Mus musculus: one gene and its partner. The protein of the gene in region 2 interacts with the protein of the main gene of each other region in a biochemical or structural test. Links are inferred from orthologs where the notes say so. Each region holds a gene or a part of one and is shown on either strand. Other genes may lie near its edges.

Evidence for each region. The genes of interacting proteins can lie anywhere in the genome.
Region 1: the proteins of Birc3 (region 2) and Ripk2 form a complex in vitro, tested with the Homo sapiens proteins (2 studies listed by BioGRID, with this or other methods). The link is inferred for Mus musculus from reciprocal best matches to the Homo sapiens genes BIRC3 and RIPK2.

The regions. Positions count from the first base shown.
Region 1 is NC_000070.6:16,160,842-16,164,866, forward strand, and holds the start of Ripk2 (receptor-interacting serine/threonine-protein kinase 2), read right to left. Parts: upstream 2,803-4,025; 5' UTR 2,556-2,802; coding exon 2,383-2,555; intron 1-2,382.
Region 2 is NC_000075.6:7,870,369-7,874,527, forward strand, and holds the start of Birc3 (baculoviral IAP repeat-containing protein 3), read right to left. Parts: upstream 2,803-4,159; 5' UTR 2,767-2,802; coding exon of another isoform or gene 2,622-2,766; 5' UTR 2,455-2,621; exon of another isoform or gene 2,319-2,454; intron 1-2,318. UniProt on the Homo sapiens protein: Multi-functional protein which regulates not only caspases and apoptosis, but also modulates inflammatory signaling and immunity, mitogenic kinase signaling and cell proliferation, as well as cell invasion and metastasis.

The sequences.
Region 1 (4,025 bases), on a different chromosome or scaffold from region 2:
TCTCTCTCTCTCTCTCTCTCTCTCTCTCTCTCTCTCTCTCTTAATGGTCCTGAGGAACAATACCTGAAGTTGACCTCTGGCCTACCCATCATGCATGTGGGTCAGCAGCACATGGATCTCCTATGTGTGTATGCTAATACAAACACATGCATGTACATACAAACATAGAAAGGTATGATGTATTCCTCCTCCCTGCCAGCCATTTTATATACAGTCCAACCCTTGAATCAACTCTCTAAAGCTTGTTTCATTCTCTCTGGTTTACATATTGGAGCATCTACAGTCAGAAAAAAATGAATGATCCTTTGGTGACAACAATACAAAGTGACAGGGTTTAAGTCAGATTTAAATTGTAGCCCTGGTACTCTAACATCTGTGCTTTTCTATTCTATTGTTTGATGAGAAAAGCAAATCAGATAGTTTGTGAGGTTAGAATTCAACAAGATTGAGGGGGAAAACAAAAGCAAAAGATTTTTAGAAACTTAAAATGCAAAATACAGCTTCAATAATTGTATCATGAAAATGGCCTAACTCAAAATGTCAATAGGAAACAGCTCTCCATCTCTAGGGTACTTGAACAACCAATCAGAGTCATCAGTCCATTAAGGCTGGAAGACTGCTATGGAAGTCCCACTCACTGGCAATGGAGAGTGACTCACTAATTATTAAAATAATATGCAACGTCACCTAGACTTATTTTCTTTTCAGGTAATCTTAAAGAACAATGGGTACATTATCCACACCAGAGCACAACAAATATACATACAGTGTTTATTATTCATATTTAACAGGTGAGGAAGTAAGACACCCTCAGAGTCAGTTGCATAAGCCTAGGCCTGTGCTCATGGTAAGATCTTAGACAGCAAGATAAAAGAATGCAATGCAGTAAGGTAGGGGATTGTGCTGGTTTTATAAAGACAATGCCCTATCCAATGCAAGGAAATTATACCATAAGTGGTTGGTGAATATGGGAAAGCAATACCATCCTGTCCATCTTTTTCCCTTGGCCTACAAATGGCACAAACGAAGCTTTGAAAAGCAGAATCAAAAGTGAGAAAGCAACTAGCTTTAGTCTACCTAGTGGTCTATTAGTGCTACATTTCCATAGACCATTCGTTTGCTTGGTACTAACCAACCTCCCTTTAAAGTTGACTACTTAGGCGCACGTGCTCGAACACGTGAACACACACACACACACACACACACACACACACACACACACACAGCACTGGCTCCACATACACTGTGATCTAGCCCTTGGAGGGAGGGAGGGCGCCTCCAGGCAGATGAAAGTCCAACATTCTACCAGGGCTGAAGCAAGAGAGTTAGTTATCTGATGCTGTATCTGACCTGATACCCAGGGTTAACAGCCTCTGACCAATAGGGCCGCTATGATCTCTGTATTTTCACACTAGATCCAGCAGGAGAAGAGGCCTGTAGCCACCAAGGTTAGCAAGTGCACTAAGAACTGAATGAAGGTCTAGTTCAATTTCTGATGGAAGTGAAACACACAAGAGTTCTGACTAGATCCATTGACTAACACATACAGCCACAGATCTATGGTATTTAGTTGTAATGTTTTCCTAGAAACAGAAACCAACGCTTTTTTTTTTTCTTTCTTCTGAATATGTGGGAGCTGGACACAAATAATACCAGGGCAAGGGATGGTCAAAACTTTTATTCTTCACAAATTTTGACCATTTAATAGCTTTTGATTCATTTTACTGTTACAAAAAACATTGCACACTTCCTTTGGGGACTTCCAAGGCAAGAGCTCGAATAACAACTGGTAATGTAGAATTTGATAACTGAACTTCATGAGGGCACGTAATAAACCACAAAGAAAACAAAACCAACCAAATCAAACCAAACCAAGCCATAATATGCAGGCTCAGGAGCAGGAGTGAAACACACATAAAACCCTAGAAAAATATTTTGACGTTTAATCAATATAAAAACACCGGTATAGTATTATTATTTTTCTTTTTAGTGCTAAATGCTCAAACTCCGGTGTGTATTTTGCAGTCACTGCGTACTTCATTTCCAAGAGCAGTTTTTAGAGTTCCACAGCTCTTACCGCTAACAGCTAGCTAAAACAAAGCAAAGCCCACAAGCACTGTACCAACACACGTCGGGTTCAATAAACAGGGTTTTAGAGGTGGCCGTGATTGCAGGTTTTTGGAGAGTGGGAACACCTCGGGTGGGAGGAGAGGCAGGGCGAGTTGCAAAGTCTGACGCACGTCCAGGATGGTTTCTCCCTTGGATCAGGTTAGCCCAAGGACTTAAGGACTCGCCGCGGCGGAGCCGGCGCATCGCCATAGTGCGGCCGGTCTGTGGACCACCCAGCCCGCGTCTGTGTGGGGCCCCGCGCCGGCGCCCTACCTGTCGAGCAGCGGCGTGTGGATGTGTAGGTGCTTCACTGCCACCCGCACGCGCCAGTCTGCGTGTCGTGCCGACGAGACCGTGCCAGAGGCGCCCCGGCTGAGGTAGTGCAGGTCGGCGAGCTTGTGGTACGGGATGGGGGGTAGCGCGCTGCAGATGGCGTCCCCGTTCATGGCTCCGGCTGCGCGGCGGCTCCGCCCGACCCTGGCCGCGGCGCTAGGTCCCGGGGCGGCCCATTCCCGCGTGGCCGCTGCAGTTCCGGCCCGGTCAGCTGTGCCAGGGAGCCCGTCGGGTCTGCGGCCGCGCCGGGGTGGACCGTCCTCCTCCCTCCTCCTGGACTCGGCGGGCTCCTCCCTCCGCCGGCCCTCCCTGGGCGGGCTCCTACCTTCACCAACTCCTCAGCCCCTGCCTCCTACCCCTGGCTTCTCCCTCCGCCGGCTCCTCCCTCCGCCGGCTCCTCCCTCCGCCGGCTCCTCCCTCCGCCGGCTCCTCCCTCCGCGGTCTCCTCCCTCTGCCGGCTCCTCCCTCTGCAATCTCCTCTCTCTGTGAGCTCCTCCCTCTGCCAGCTCCTCCCTCCGCCGGCTCCTCCCTCTGCCAGCTCCTCCCTCCGCCGGCTCCGCCCTCCGCCGGCTCCTCCTTCTGCCAGCTCCTCCCTCCGTCGGCTCCGCCCTCCCCCAGCTCCTCCCTCCGCCGGCTCCTCCTCCGCCCGCTCTTCTGTCCTCTGGCTCCTCCTTCCGCCGGCCCCTCCCTCTGTAATCTCCCATCTTTGCGGGCTCCTCCCTCTGCCGGCTCCTCCCTCTGCAAGCTCCCCTCTCTGCGGGCTCCTCCCTCTGCCGGCTCCTCCCTCTGCAGATCATGGGCGTGTCTCAGAGGCCTCCCTCCCCCCACAAGCCGGGTGGACATCGCTGAGGCTTGGAAAAGATTTCCTCCGGGGAAAATCCCTCCGGAGTTCTCCAGTCTGGTGTCAGGTGGGTCGGCTGGATTTTCCTTTGGCCCGAGTGTCTTCCTTAGACTCCAAACCCTGGACGTGATAGGGTGTGGGGTGACTACTGCTGGGGAGCCTGGTGCCCCACTTCCTGAGCTGTAAACCATCTGGTTGCTTCCACTCCAGTCTTTACTCAGTGGCTGCCACTTGTGAGAAGTGAGGTAGAGAGGCTAGCGCTGTCAGTGTGACAAATTGAGGTGTTTAGCTTATATGACTTGCTCCCTTACCAGGAAACGGTTTCTTCTTTTATTCCTCAAAGCCTACTCACAAATAGAAATATAAAACCATTTCTTGTGTTTGGGAAGTCTTCCATCCAAAAAGAAAAACAAAGGCAAAAACAAACAAAACCAAACAACCAAAATCCAGCACTATTTCATCTTTTTACTGTAAACACCTTTCTACTTAGATAACTGTTCAGTACGATGTTTGGCGCAAATATCTCATATTTGTGAGCGATATAGTTCCACGATCCTACACGCACCAGGATACTACAATCTGTAATTGTCCCTTATATTATTAGTGTAATATATATAACACCGACATTTCCTTCCCTATACTCTAGTTCTTAATAGTTTTTTACAAGTCTACATTCTAAGATTATGTTTTCTTGGGCTGGAGTCATGGGTAAGCCGTTAAGAGGGCTTGTTCTTCCAGAGGA
Region 2 (4,159 bases):
GGAGTAAGTGTGTCACTGTGGGTGTGGGCTTTAAGATCCTCATCCTAGCTGTCCAGAAGCCAGTATTCTACTAGCAGCCTTCAGATGAAGATCTAGAACTCTCTGCTCCTCCTGCACCATGTCTGCCTGGATGCCAGTGTGTTCCTCCTGGATGATAATGGACTGAACCTCTGAACTTGTAAGCCAGCCCAACTAAACGTTGACCTTATAAGAGTTGCCTTGGTCATGGTGTCTGTTCACAGCAGTAAAACCCTAACTAAGACATACTGCTCCAGCACCCGCTTGCATGTTGCCACGTGGTGATCATGGACTTCCCCCTGAAACTGTAAGCAAGCCTCAGTTAAATGCTTTCCTTTATAAGTTGTATTGGCCATGGTGTGTCCTCACAGGAACAGTGCAGTGACAGGGTACTCAGGTATACTCCTCCATGTGCCTGCCAAGGAGCAGTAGAGCTCAGTCCTATGGTGGTTCTGTTTTCAACCTTTCGAGGGTCTGTTCCACTGATTTCCTTAGAGGTTAGACTAGTTTGTGTCCCCAGCAACAGACGCAATTGTTTTCTCTACATCCTGAGCCGAATTTGTAGAAATAACCCTCAGTCCTTCCAAGATCACTGTTTCATTCAGCTGGCTCCGTTCCTCACTAGGTGAGGCCCTCAGCCTGCCTTCCTTTGCCTGCCCTCTGTTCACAGGTCTATTGGCCACCTCAGAGAAACAAGTGCCCCTTCATGGGCCCTCCTACTACTCTGAAGGACTCTTCTTCATATTTCCTCAAACCCCGCAGGGTCCTTGTCCCTCTATACAGTAATGCTGAAGTCTCTACTCCAGCCACTCCTGAGTCTGGCAAGCCGGCAGAACATTTGTTTATGAACCACATTTCCACACAGACAGCCAGTCCGTGTGCCAGCACCTTTCCCTCTCCATACTCATAAAATAAAATTTGCTTCCTCTTAGGCCTGTTCTGATCCCTGCCCTAGTCCACATCAGTGTGTAGGAGCCCTCTTTCTTTCCAGTGGTTCCTTATAGATGAGCTTGGCACCCCAGTTTCTTCTCTGCTTACACTACCATGTCCAGTAGACCCAGAGACTATTGTGTGCCCCCACCCTCTGGAGCAATTAGCTGTGCCATCTTCCTCCCTCCACCTTGGACCATATCTCCTACAGAATAGGAAATAAGCTTTAACCTCTGTAGTAGCTGCAGCTACAGTGCCTAGCTGCTGTTGTGTGAGACACACAGCCCAGACTGACCTTGGACACCTGATCCTTCAGCCTCCACCTCCCAAGTGCTAAGATTACAGACCTGCACTACTAACCCCAGCAAACACTGGCATGGAAGAATTTCTTAGCACAGCTGGCTGTGCCCAGCATGTTCATGGCACTTTCATTTGTTAATTTCCCCCTATTACTGCTAACTTGACCTCGTGGCAATTTACTCCCATGCTCTGGAGTCTCACATCACAGGATTTCAAGAGAGTCAGTCCCTTTTCCACCAACAGTGTAATGTTGGGCAAGAAAACCACCAAGTGGCCAGACACGCCCCTAATCCCATTACCCTGGAGGCAGAGGTGGGTAGACGTCAGTGTTTCCTTGAGTTCAAAGCCAGCCTGTTTACTTATCCAGTTCCAGCCCAACCAGTGCTCCATAGTGAGACTAAGAAAAGCCACTCGTGCCTCAGTTTCCTAGGTGCGAAAAGGGGATAGTAATGGCACCTGCTTTTTACAACGGATGATCAGAACCTGGCTTGGGGCAGACAGAAACGACTCCAGAGATTTACCGGCTAGATTAAGAGCACTGCTGAGAAATTGAGTACAGTGACTCAGGCCTATAATCCCAGCACTGAAGGGGTTAAGGCAGGAGGATTTTTCCGAAGTTCAAAGCCCCAGTCAGCTATAGTGTGAAATGGTCTCTGACACACCCATCACTCCTTTAATCCAAGCACTTGGAAGGCAGAGGTAGGCAGATTTCTAAGTTCGAGGCCAGCCTGGTCTACAGAATGAGTTCCAGGACAGCCAGAGCTACACAGAGAAACCCTGTCTCGAAACACCCCCCCCCCCCCAAAAAAAAAGAAAGAGCTGTAGTGTTTTCCTGAGCTGGCCACCAAGAAAACAACCATGAGCTTTCCACAAGCTCATCCTTAGACGCCAGAGTTCTCACTGTGTCAAGTCTCCCAGATGCCTCCCGCAGCAGCCTAATTAAAATGCAACTTCTCGGCACCTACGCCTCACTCAGAAAGTCAGAGACCGGAAAAGACTCAGAAAGTCGAGCTCCCGCAAGCGGGGAGGGGGTGGGGGGAGGGGGGGCAGCCAGGGTCAGCGTGGCCAACCTGTAGGTCGCCCTCCCGCAGGACCACCGATGCATAGAAACGGGTTTTGCAGGTTCTCCTTCGGATCTAGTCACCCCGGTGATCCTCGAGCCACTACGGGGACCCTGGCTGGATCCCCACGCGCGCGCGTACTCACCGCAGCCCACTTCCTAGGCTCTGAACGCCAGCAATGACCTCTGATCTCCGGGGGTGGCACCCTCGCCTGGCCTGTGGGGTGTGGCTGGGTGGCGCGATACCTTTAAATCGTCCCCAGCTAGGCCTTAGCCACTGCCCCCACCCTGCCCGGCTCAGGGCTGCTCAGACCTGCGGTGCTTTCCTCCAGGGCTCCGGGGAACTCCAGGGTGAAAACCAGACGCACTTCCTCCTCACCCTTGGTGGCCACCCTGGCTGGGGATTTCCGTGGCTCTTCTGTGCGTGACTTCCTGGACCCAGCTCCTCTTCGTGTCATTTACTGAAAGTTTTTACTTGAAGGCTCTTGGCTCTTACAAAACATTGAAAACAGATGTGCAGCCTGTGAGTTCCGCCTTAAGAGGCCTATCCCCACCCCACCCTCACCGCGCTTCCCTCCTGCAGCCTCCAAGTCCTTCACTGTAAAAAAAGAGCCACAACTGTCCGGAATATAACTGCTAAGTTAAAAAAGTAAGACGTTAGGAGGAAAAAAACCCGAGTAACTCTGTAAAAGTCTCTGGTTTCACTTTTTGTTTTTATCAAGAAAGAGAGCTGAAAGGAACATTTGTTAAAAACAAACAAACAAACAAAACAAAACACGTATGGATCTCAATTTCAGGTTATTTTTATTATTTCAAAGATCAGAACTACAGCTGCGGGTAGCAGCAAATGCCTTTAATCCCAGCACTCAGAAGGCCGAGGCAGGAGGATCTCTGTGAGTTCCAGGCCAGCCTGGGCTACATAGTAAGACTTTGTTTTTTAAAAATGCTAGAACCACACTGATTCTTGTATTTGAAAGGTGTGATTGTGGGCCGGAGACGTGGCTAAGCAATTAAAAGTACTTGCTGCTCTGGTAGAGGACCAAGGTTCTGCTCCCAGCATTCACAAGATGGCTCACAGACATCTGTAACTCCAGTTCCAGGAGATCCATTGCGGCCTTCTGGCCTCTTCAGGCACTGCACCTGTATTCGCACAGGCGTGAGGCAAAACACCTGTACACATATTTAATATATAAATACGTTTTAAAAAATATTTTGAAAGGGTTAGAGAGATGGCTCAGCAGTTAAGAGCACTGACTGCTCTTCCAAAGGCCTGAGTTCAAATCCCAGCAACCACATGGCTTACAACCCTCTGTAATAAAATCTGACTCCCTCTGCTGGTGTGTCTGAAGATAGCTACAGTGCACTTACATATAATAATAAATCTTTAAAAATATGTTTTTTTAAAAGTCTGGGGTTTTTGTTTTGTTTTGTTTTTTTTGTCCTGATCTGTTTTAGTGGTTTTTTTTTTCTTGTATTTTTGTTTAGTTTTTCCTTGTCAAATTTTGTTTTATAAACAGGATGAATAAATCTAGAAAAACAAAATTCCTTCTTTTAGCTTTTTCTCTTTCAAGGGAAGGTGCTTAGCTATATCAATGTTCTTGTAAAAACTTGACTCTTGCCAGGCAGTGGTGATGCATGCCTTTAATCCCAGCACTCAGGAGGCAGAGGTAGATGGATATTTGTGAGTTCTAGGCTAGCCTGATCTACAGAGTGAGTTCCAGGACAGCCAGGCTACACAGAGAAACTTTGTCTGCTTTCCTCCATCTTCAGCCAATTAGCATCAGACTTAAGGAGACATAATCTAGCGGTGAGAAACCTGCCCTGGTCAATCTAGAGATAAAATGCCTTATT